Arabidopsis thaliana: one gene and its partner. Changing the gene in region 1 together with any one later gene gives a genetic interaction. Each region holds a gene or a part of one and is shown on either strand. Other genes may lie near its edges.

The links. Genes that interact genetically often act in the same process or in processes that back each other up.
Region 2: of HY2 (region 1) and ELF3, changing one enhances a phenotype caused by changing the other (phenotypic enhancement), as found in Arabidopsis thaliana (one study listed by BioGRID).

What each region holds. Positions count from the first base shown.
Region 1 is NC_003074.8:2,801,495-2,806,466, reverse strand, and holds HY2 (phytochromobilin:ferredoxin oxidoreductase, chloroplast / phytochromobilin synthase (HY2)), read right to left. Parts: upstream 2,940-4,972; 5' UTR 2,803-2,939; coding exon 2,581-2,802; exon of another isoform or gene 2,398-2,580; coding exon 2,281-2,397; intron 2,199-2,280; coding exon 2,104-2,198; intron 2,018-2,103; coding exon 1,924-2,017; intron 1,838-1,923; coding exon 1,706-1,837; intron 1,632-1,705; coding exon 1,527-1,631; intron 1,439-1,526; coding exon 1,388-1,438; coding exon of another isoform or gene 1,382-1,387; exon of another isoform or gene 1,308-1,381; coding exon 1,134-1,307; 3' UTR 545-1,133; downstream 1-544. Other genes in the region: AT3G09160 (RNA-binding (RRM/RBD/RNP motifs) family protein), read left to right, coding at 1-46, 133-205; AT3G09140 (hypothetical protein (DUF674)), read left to right, coding at 3,694-4,972. UniProt on the Arabidopsis thaliana protein: Catalyzes the two-electron reduction of biliverdin IX-alpha to the tetrapyrrole chromophore phytochromobilin (PPhiB).
Region 2 is NC_003071.7:11,057,308-11,063,824, forward strand, and holds ELF3 (hydroxyproline-rich glycoprotein family protein), read left to right. Parts: upstream 1-1,636; 5' UTR 1,637-2,151; coding exon 2,152-2,370; intron 2,371-2,570; exon of another isoform or gene 2,571-2,732; coding exon 2,733-3,529; intron 3,530-4,709; coding exon 4,710-4,761; intron 4,762-4,851; coding exon 4,852-5,871; 3' UTR 5,872-6,017; downstream 6,018-6,517. Other genes in the region: ALPHA-VPE (alpha-vacuolar processing enzyme), read right to left, coding at 6,189-6,371. UniProt on the Arabidopsis thaliana protein: May be a transcription factor part of a circadian clock input pathway. Acts within a 'zeitnehmer' feedback loop and is involved in its own circadian regulation. Has no role in regulating circadian clock function in the dark.

The DNA.
Region 1 (4,972 bases):
GGACTGTCGATGCTGAGGCCGATCCCTTTCCGAAAGAAGAAGACAAGTAAACGGAATTTATTTCCGAGATTTGTATCTTTAAGATTGTTTTCTAATTATACTATATCATCTGCTGCAATCCAATTATTTCAGTTGCGTTGAGTTAGAGGTTGAAGGATACGATACGACACTTCGCTTAGTGAGTCTGATATCAAGTGCGAGTTGAGTAAACTTTTCTCTTCATGTGGGAAGGTTGATCATGTCATGATTTTCGATAGGTTTGTGGCTTGTTCCTCCCCAACCATATTTCCCCAAGTTAGTAAAGTCTAAACTTATACTAAAGACTTGTCGTCCTGGTTTTTTACAGCTTCTCTATAGTGTATCTACTGGGAGAAGACGCAATAGACAAGGCCCCAAAACTTAGTGGGACCGACATGGGAGGGGGGCGCAAAGCAGTTGTTCGGTTTGTTGCTTACCATGGAAGAAACATTTTCCACCCCCGCCGCCAGAAAGGCCGCATCATTTGTGGCCGCCCAGGTACGTCAATATCTTGTTGATTCTTGCTTCCTGTTAACCAAGTGTAACAAACTTTCGTTGTTACTTTATAGATGAAAAGCCAAAGATGGCTGCCATAATGAAGATAATTAAGAAGCCAAAGAGGACTGCAAAAAAGAAGATAATTAAGAAGCCAAAGATGACTTTGGAGTAGAAGAAAGCTCGCAGACGAACCTCTTGGGTGTTTTTAACTTGTGCAACCTTCCTTTTTATTTACTTGTTATGCTTTTTGTCTAGATGTTTAAGTTATTAAGCTCGCTAATCATCATCTGCCTTGGTTACCTAACGCATGATGTTTATGTCTGGATGTTAGAGTTATGATATGTTTATGTCTGGATTTTTATAAGTTAATCTCTGTTGATTAGGTAGAGACGAATACATTTTCATTAAAATCATATCATACTCGAGGATTCTCATTTTGATGAAGGGCTGAGAGCTACACTTGTAAAACTACAATGCATGGTAACTCAAACAATCATCTTGAAATGCAGATAGACCTGAGAGACTCCTCATGCTGCTCTTTCTTATTCCTACTTCCCTAAGTTCACGTCCTCTTGTGTTGATGACTCTGAAATCTGACTTGTTCACATATATCATTGTTAGCCGATAAATTGTCCTGTTAAATCCCATGGACGAGTTTCATATGACTTCCCAATGATACTTCGTTTATCGCTTACAGTTCCATCTTCTGTTTGGTACTCTGGAAAGTAATCAATGAATGTTTTTGTGCCTAACTCATCCACCCCATTGAACAGGAAATCCCTTAGCAGCTCCTGATTTTGTTCAAATCATTTTCAACATCTTCACAAGCTAATTAATAATGGGGACACTAATGGGATCAAATCTTTTATACCTTTGCCTTTGCTTCACCTACTAATCTTTTAAGAAGACCATGTCCAGGATCCTGCAAACACCAAATCAATATCCATTGTAACAATACAGATACAGTGTCTGTTCAAACATGCAAATTACACAAAAGGAAATGAAATCACCTTTTGTGCTCGCCATGTCAGGTACTTGTGTTGTGCTTCACAATTGGCTCTCACATGAGATGGTTCCATCTCCTCCCTCACTTGGATTGTCATCTCAAGCCATGCCTGTAGGAAGAAGATGATAGATTCTCAGTCAAAGTTTCCAATAAAACCTTAGCTTTTGGCCGCTGAGTATATACCTGATAGTACTCTAGAAACGCAGAGAACAAAGCCTTATGTTTTTCTTTGCTAGACGAAAACCTAGTCCACATCACCAAAGGCGAGAAAAACTTTATGGATTCACCAGTCAATTTCCCTCCCCATGGGAAAGTCTGCAAATAAATCTCAAGATCAGTCATTTACACCTCAGCATTAGGTTTACTTGCAATTGAGTAATTTGGTGTATTCTTGTGGTCACCTCAGCATATTTGTGATATATGGACATTATCTTGTTATAATACTTGTCTTGGTAATCCGTCTGGTCAGTCAACTGATGCAAAGGATTAAGGTCCCTAAAGAAGAACATACAGTAAAATATTGAACATCAGTTTGGACAATACAGACCTGATAACTCCAGCATAACTAGAAGATAACTTACAATACAACTATGTTAACGTTGGTAGATGTGAAAAAGTTAGCACAGAATATGGGAGTATCATACTCAGGCTCCATGAAACCCGCAAAGTCAAAGACCTAAGCGAAGATACAAACAATCAATCAATTGAAAGTAAGGAAATGGGACTAAAGCAATCAGTTTGTACTGCTGAAGTTAAACCTGCATTGTCTCATTCTCTATTGCCATACTCCTCAAGAGTCTAATCTTTGAAGATTTAAAAGCAAGCATTTGAAGTTCGGTCTTACCATCTAGTCCTGTCATGCTACTATACTTTTCCTGAAACAGTTTCGTGATTAGAAAAACAAAATCTGAACTTTTACTTATATAAGCAGTCTATAACAGTAAAGTTATTTGTTTGGTTCCTAATGACAACTCAAATCAATTTACCCAAAATTCACAGCAAGAAACAATGAGAAATATAATCCTCCCACTACACTAACGAAATGTAATTGCATATACCTGGAGATGTGAAGGTTCAAGAACGATCCTTTTCCTGGTTTCTTCTAAAGCAGACTCTGCGAATTCCTTATACGACACAGCAGAGACTCTAAGTAAGAATCTTTTCTTTCTCCTTCTCAACGTGAAATTGATCTTATTAGGGCTTGCAGAGATTAGAACAGGTGGGTTTGGTGCCTTGAAGCATGACCCAATTGAAAACCCAAACTCCATTGATAAAGCCATTACAACAAGACTCACAAACTGAAACCAAAGGTCTCCTTCCTCGGACACTCTCTTCAATTCTTCTTCATACTGAAAACTGAAAAAAGCAAGATTCTTTATCTATAAAAGAGATAAAATTTTCACAGTTTCAGTGAGACAAACGCAATTGGCAACGACAATGAATTTCAACATCCGTCCGAGTCATGGTCCAACTATAGGGCCCACATCCGCCACGTGGAATGCACAGTCACGTTGACGTGGGGAATTCAAAAGTTTAGGGGTGTTTATTGGTTTGTAATTTAAATAATTTTATATGTGATTGAAAAATCTGTGGTTATTCATTAAGATTTTATCAAAATTCTGCTAAAATTTAATGTTTTTGTTTTGTAAAAAATCTTCATAAATTTGGAGTTATCATATTTAAAATTTTATAAAATCAAGAAAATTTTTGTGTTTATCCAACTAAAATAAAAGAATTTATAATTGTTAATAAATTAAATTATTTTGTTATTGATTTATGATTTTTTACACTTTTATTCTCAAAATAAAGTAATAATAAGTATCATTAAAATAGAAAAATTGTTTTCTACCAAAATAATAATAATAGAAAGATTGTTTGATAAACTTTACAAGATTATGGAGTAACTAATCAACAAGATTATAGAAAACTCTCTAGCAATAGTTTATTATCTTTCATTTATTTATTTTGTTTATTTCTTATTTTTCTTTTTATTAAAGTTATCAAAATTTCTTTTAAAATAGAACTTCATAACATTTAAAGTTATTAAATTTTAAAAACACTATTTAAGTCACAATCCTTCTTCTCTTGGTTTAAACTTTCAAAACGTTTTCTCTTTACTATCTCTTTGTATTGTTCTTCTCTTCCTTAGCGTTCTCTGTTAACAATCTCCAATGGCTGAGAGTACAAAGTCAAAAAAGCTAAGTGTGAGACTTCTCATAGATGAACTGAAGAACAAGGTTGTCTTGGCTGAATCTGGTAAGGATTTTGTTGATGTTCTCTTTAGTTTTCTCGCTCTTCCCATGGGAACTATTGTTAGATTGCTTGAGAAACATCAAAAATCGCCTCAAGTGGGTATAGGATGTTTCAACAATCTTTACAAAAGTGTTTCAGAGATGGATCTTGAGAGTTTTCAGACAGAAGCATGTAAGCAAGTTCTACTGTATCCTAGGAGTGTGAATCTTGAGAAGTTCAGAAATATGAAGTTGAAAATTGATGACACTAGGGCTGTTAAGTACTTTGTTTGCTCAGGCTTTAAAGAATCCTGCAGACATCATTATAGCATTTCGAACACGGAGGAATGTGAATGTGGAGAAATTGTTGACTCGAAGGTTGTCAAAAGAGTGATGAATCGGGAGATTAAGGGACTTGAAGAAGAGCAAGTTCAAGGAAGGATTTTGAGAAAGGATAATGATGGAGTTTTTTTCAGCTGTAAAGCTTCTTCTTTCATTATAACAGATGATCTGAAAGTGGAGGCGAGCTCTATGGATAATGTTTTGAATACTCTCAGAGGCTTAGGCTACGCAGATACTTCCAAGCTCAGTGAAATACTTCTTCATGTCGGTGTCAGTGAGGTATTTTTTACTGTATCATCTTACGTTGGTCTTCGTAGTTTGAATATATATGTTTTGTTGAGTGTTTGTTTGTGTCATCAACAGGTACTGACTTTGCTGGAATGTTTCTTTACTTCGGACCTTCCTTTAACCGACACTTTTCTGAAGAAGCAAAGCTCATTGCAAATGATCAGATCTCGTATACCTCTAAGTCCAACTTTGCAAGGATCTGGAGATGGAGCAGTACCAGGCCAAACCATAACTTTTAAAGCATTTGTTAGAAAACCGAACATCAAGATTCTCTGTGTTGAATGTGGAGCAGACTTCATTGATCTTCTTTTCACTTTTCTAGCTTTGCCACTTGAATCTGTCTGGAACATCTCTGCAGGGAATATCAGTTTAGGTTGTATTGGAAACTTATTCAGAAGCTTCAAGAGAATTGATGCTTCATCCTCTTCCAAAACCAAGCTTCCTTCGTTTTATAGTTGCCCTAAACAGTTACTTGATGTCGTCACTGAGCAACAAGAGATCTATTGCAGTTTCAAGTGTGTCGTTGAAACTAATAATGAGTATGACTTTAAGTTCACTAGAAAGATGCCTCCTCGTCCGAATTCTCTGA
Region 2 (6,517 bases), on another chromosome or scaffold:
ATTGATATTTGATAATCTTTACCAAAAATTCGCAATCTCCTTTAGAGTGAAAGCGAGTATAACCGTATGACCAAACTATTTTGAGTACCATTGGTAATTCCTTACCTTAAGCTTCCAGAGGTATTAGTGCTATATATTCATAGTGCCACCGAGTATTTTGAACTCCGAAATGATTTCTCACTATCCGACCACTCCCAATTATATAACATGCTTAGAATTATTCGTAAGATGGATCGTAGTTGCATTTTACGACACCATACAGGACAAGTCCATGATAGTTTGAGTTGGTGGATTTTGGAACCCCTGCAAATTTATTTTATACATAACAAAGGCCCCAATCCATTCCTTAGCATCACAACTTGGGACTTCTATCTTTTGAAGGATACATTCACTTGTTGGTTTTGGTAAATATGATTGTTTCTTTACTTCCGAATAAGCAATATATAAAAGTATCTAAAAACGGAAGTAACTTTTGATGATCCTAAAGGTTTTGTAATTGATACATGTCCAAAAACCTCTTAATATTCTTTCTCACAAACTGTTGATGGAGTTAACAAAGGGAGACAAGGTAATTGGGACAATATCAACGTTAGATACAGGACAAGTGAAAAATGTGGGGTTGATGTCTTCAGCTGCAGCATATCACCGTTGGTATATATTGTCAATTATTAGTCCTATGGATTTGAAACGTGTTTTAGTAAATAAGAGTGTCCAAGTGGGACATTTCCAATAACGTATCACAGCTCCTAGAGCTTTTGCTATGTTTCTCTAGGCCTGGGCCGCCTAGCCCACATTCCAAGCAAGGAAATGAATGGAGTTGGGCATCAAAATTTTGGAAGCATTTTTAAGACAAATTATCTTTTAAGTTTCCTTTTTTAAACATAAACTATATTTTAGGCTTTTTTAAGATAAATATTATTTGGATTTTCTTTCACTCATATTTTTGGATTTCAACTTAACAAAACATAGGGCGTGTCTATTTGACTCCACCTACCCACCCTACTGGAGTTCGATCCCACTAAATCGCGTTATCCCGCATAGTAGGGATTGACTATGGATCGGACTTTGTCGATCCAAAGATATCTAAGAAATTCAGAAAAGATTGTATAAAATTCAGAAACGATTTTACGAAATTCATGAAAAATGAGAAATACATGTTTTTTTTAATTTACGTCGGCATTAAAAACGTTGGACCGGCTCTGTGTTTCACCAAAGAAATTGTTTCAGTTTATGCATGATCTTCAACTTCCATATTCTTGTTTTCAATTCTGGAAATCCCTAACAGATCGGAGCTCTCCTCATTCAGTGAGTTGGAAGATTGCATGATTATATAATTACTCTTCACATCCACATATATTACATTATATTCCCCTATAATTTCATACAACCCTAGAAAAGAATCTTCAAGTAATCTAATCGTGTCGATGACTCCACTCATTTGCTAGAAAAGAAAAAACAAACAGACTTCATTTAGCTGAAAACAATCTTTTATTCAACATTACAAAGCACTGATCAAAGAACCTCTAACATGGTAATATATCTATGACATTTTACGTATCCTAAAAGAAAACAAAAAGTGATGTATTGGATGATGTTTTTTTTTTTTACTTTCTAGTTTCTTATTACAACGACAAAAAGAGTCCACGTCGTCACGCACTTTTCCGGTGGTGAAAAAAATGTCCAAATGGATTAAATCTATAATATCTCCAGAGAGATCCTCTCCTTCTATCTTTTTGGGCTCCACTTTTCCTATCTCTTTTTGCCCCTTTCCTCTCTCTGTTCACAAGTCATCTTCTTCCTTCCTCTGAATCTTGTTCCTTTTTGCTCTCTCTACTTGATTCACCCACTCTGTTTCTCGATTAGTACGTTGAAAACTCACTTTGGTTTTGTTTGATTCCTCTTTAGTCTGTTTTTCGATTTCGTTTTCTCTGATTGGTTTGGTGGTGAGATCTCTATCGTAGTTTGTCCTTTGGGTTAAGATATTTCATTTGATTGGTGGGTTTGTTTTATTGAAGCTTATTGTTGTGAAAGTTGGAGTCTTTCTCAGTTTTTAGGTTGAATTATTAAGAGAAAGGGAAGATTTTTGGTGTGAAGTTAGGTTATTTGGGGTTTGAGAAGTTTGCAAGTGAAAAAGGTTGTGAATTGTGAGTGATGAAGAGAGGGAAAGATGAGGAGAAGATATTGGAACCTATGTTTCCTCGGCTTCATGTGAATGATGCAGATAAAGGAGGGCCTAGAGCTCCTCCTAGAAACAAGATGGCTCTTTATGAGCAGCTTAGTATTCCTTCTCAGAGGTTTGGTGATCATGGAACGATGAATTCTCGTAGTAACAACACAAGCACTTTGGTTCATCCTGGACCATCTAGTCAGGTATTGTTTTGATTTTGATCATTGTATAGGCTCTTGATGTTATTAGTTGTATGAGTTTGGATGTTATATAGCCTGAAAGAGAAAGTAGGACATTGGTTGATCTATGTTTCAATTGTTATCAGATCATAGTATCTTCTTTTTGCTTATGGATTGAGCTTTTAGGATTGAATTCTCCTGTATATATGAGAGTCTTGTAGACACAAGTTTATCTAAGTGTGGTTTATTTCTTAAAACTAACATTCTTGTTGTGCCTGATTCTTTTTATGTTCTGAAGTTCGATGAAAGTTTCTTGTGATTGCCCTGAGCATTCAGACTATTGCAAGGACATGAGAAATAATCCTTTTTTACCCTCTTCAATGCAGCCTTGTGGTGTGGAAAGAAACTTATCTGTCCAGCATCTTGATTCTTCAGCCGCAAACCAAGCAACTGAGAAGTTTGTCTCCCAAATGTCCTTCATGGAAAATGTGAGATCTTCGGCACAGCATGATCAGAGGAAAATGGTGAGAGAGGAAGAAGATTTTGCAGTTCCAGTATATATTAACTCAAGAAGATCTCAGTCTCATGGCAGAACCAAGAGTGGTATTGAGAAGGAAAAACACACCCCAATGGTGGCACCTAGCTCTCATCACTCCATTCGATTTCAAGAAGTGAATCAGACAGGCTCAAAGCAAAACGTATGTTTGGCTACTTGTTCAAAACCTGAAGTTAGGGATCAGGTCAAGGCGAATGCAAGGTCAGGTGGCTTTGTAATCTCTTTAGATGTATCAGTCACAGAGGAGATTGATCTCGAAAAATCAGCATCAAGTCATGATAGAGTAAATGATTATAATGCTTCCTTGAGACAAGAGTCTAGAAATCGGTTATACCGAGATGGTGGCAAAACTCGTCTGAAGGACACTGATAATGGAGCTGAATCTCACTTGGCAACGGAAAATCATTCACAAGAGGGTCATGGCAGTCCTGAAGACATTGATAATGATCGTGAATACAGCAAAAGCAGAGCATGCGCCTCTCTGCAGCAGATAAATGAAGAGGCAAGTGATGACGTTTCTGATGATTCGATGGTGGATTCTATATCCAGCATAGATGTCTCTCCCGATGATGTTGTGGGTATATTAGGTCAAAAACGTTTCTGGAGAGCAAGGAAAGCCATTGCCAAGTAAGTTCACTAGAAATTTACAGTTTGGTTATTTATTCTCCGCTCTTTCTATTTATCTCCTTCTTTGATACCAACATTTTTTGCTTGAAAGAAGTTAATATTTAAGCATTGTTCCGTAGTCTTACTGAAGCTTTTTCCTCTGTTGTTTTTTGCTATTTTCATTGAGGACTGTGGTAGGGCATATTTCACTATCACCAAATTTCAAATTTCTAGAACACTCTCCTTCATATTTTTTTTCATGATTAATGCTGCAATTGATTGCTGATATACATATATGACTATAACTCAGTTTCATATTCTGTCTCATTTTGGGAGAAAGAGATTTCAGGTTTATGCTTGAGAAGTGATGGTTCTATAGTTGAGAGGCCCCTGATTCATCTAAAATGGTCCTATTATGTGTTTAGTTGTAGAGTCCTCGGTAGAATATTAACGCGTTTAACACGTTGGATCATGTTATAGCAGGGAGGGACATTCTCTGTTGACCTATATTGTGCAAGGTGCCCGCCGATGGCTTTATTACTATACCTTCTTTGCATCTGGTTGTTGGAACATGTCCCTGTCTCGGTTTGGTATTGCTTTTATTCTGCACTGTCGTCTTGGGCATTTTCCCTACTTGTCATTCAAGGGGTTGAACCAGGTAGGGAAATGTTTTTCCGAGGACCCCAGGATCTAAATTTTAGTTAACCATACGTAAAGTTAGTTTTGAGTCTTATGACGATGCAGAATTATAGTTTCTTCTTACTACTGCTTAAGAGGATCCTTAGTGTGGTTGTGAACTACAGAGTTTTTATGATTGTAGGCTTCATGACTTAACTTTTAAGGTTCAATGTACTCTAATCCATATGGTAAGGTATCGGATTCACGACCAATGCAAATAATAAGATTTTTATTTCTTGCTTCTTGTTAAATATCTGACATCTCATTTTGCAGAGGATAAGCTGCGCTGTAAGCTAGATTTCAATAAGCCCGTCCTTTGCATTGTTATCTATGCTTTAATATGTCATTGGACCCATTGATTTGGTTTTCTTCTATCTTTTTTGATTGGCTATGTATTCTTGTTTCTTTTTTCCTATCTCATTTCGATCGTATTGTTCCATTAGCTGTTCAACCTAAACTATGTCTCTCTTTGTTGAACTTTTGATGGATAATCTTCTTAATGTGACTCTGTTTCTCATTACAGTCAACAAAGAGTATTTGCTGTTCAACTATTTGAGTTGCACAGACTGATTAAGGTAAAGTCATTCAGAAACTTCTCATATGTTTCCATGAGTATTTGTTTCTTCTCGAGCTGAAACAAACCTCTTCAACTGTGTAATAATCAGGTTCAAAAACTTATTGCTGCATCACCGGATCTCTTGCTCGATGAGATCAGTTTTCTTGGAAAAGTTTCTGCTAAAAGCTATCCAGTGAAGAAGCTCCTTCCATCAGAATTTCTGGTAAAGCCTCCTCTACCACATGTTGTCGTCAAACAAAGGGGTGACTCGGAGAAGACTGACCAACATAAAATGGAAAGCTCAGCTGAGAACGTAGTTGGGAGGTTGTCAAATCAAGGTCATCATCAACAATCCAACTACATGCCTTTTGCAAACAACCCACCGGCTTCACCGGCTCCAAATGGATATTGCTTTCCTCCTCAGCCTCCTCCTTCAGGAAATCATCAGCAATGGTTGATCCCTGTAATGTCTCCCTCGGAAGGACTGATATACAAGCCTCACCCAGGTATGGCACACACGGGGCATTATGGAGGATATTATGGTCATTATATGCCTACACCAATGGTAATGCCTCAATATCACCCCGGCATGGGATTCCCACCTCCTGGTAATGGCTACTTCCCTCCATATGGAATGATGCCCACCATAATGAACCCATATTGTTCAAGCCAACAACAACAACAACAACAACCCAATGAGCAAATGAACCAGTTTGGACATCCTGGAAATCTTCAGAACACCCAACAACAACAACAGAGATCTGATAATGAACCTGCTCCACAGCAACAGCAACAGCCAACAAAGTCTTATCCGCGAGCAAGAAAGAGCAGGCAAGGGAGCACAGGAAGCAGTCCAAGTGGGCCACAGGGAATCTCTGGTAGCAAGTCCTTTCGGCCATTCGCAGCCGTTGATGAGGACAGCAACATCAACAATGCACCTGAGCAAACGATGACAACAACCACAACGACGACAAGAACAACTGTTACTCAGACAACAAGAGATGGGGGAGGAGTGACGAGAGTGATAAAGGTGGTACCTCACAACGCAAAGCTCGCGAGTGAGAATGCTGCCAGAATTTTCCAGTCAATACAAGAAGAACGTAAACGCTATGACTCCTCTAAGCCTTAATCCTCTCTATGCGTATTGTACTTGATATGTATTTTACAAAATTAGAAAAATTGTGATAGATGTTATCCTCAATATATGTACCATGTAAACGTATTATGGTGTAAGCCTCATTTATATGTGTTAATTTGTCTTAAAGCCTTGAAATCACTTGAACAACAAAGATTATTTGAAACAACTACTTACAATCACTGTTTCTTTTGTCTGTGACATCAAGAACTTAAGCATCCCATATTTACAACATCTTGTCTACATAGGAAGGAGTATAATTGGTAGTAAGATATTAATGGACATCGATTAATATAGGGCGGAGACGAAGATCAAGCACTGAATCCACGGTCAAGAGAGCTCCAAGGACTGGTAGGGATGGTGGGACAAGCCTGCATTGCTGCCTCCTCCATTTGCCTCATCTGAATCCCTGCGTTGCACATGTTTGCAATCGACCTCATGTGCTTTATTCCGTACTGAGACAACGATCCACAGTGCCTCTCGAAAGCTCTCACCTAACAACCACATAAAGGAGAATAAGAAAGTGATCATCACAAGAAGCTTAATCATCTAATGAGGACTGAAAGTGATTTTTTTCCGACATATCATATCGTATCTAACGTCCTGAGTCTTGCATCCTCTGGCCAATACCATTGTTTAA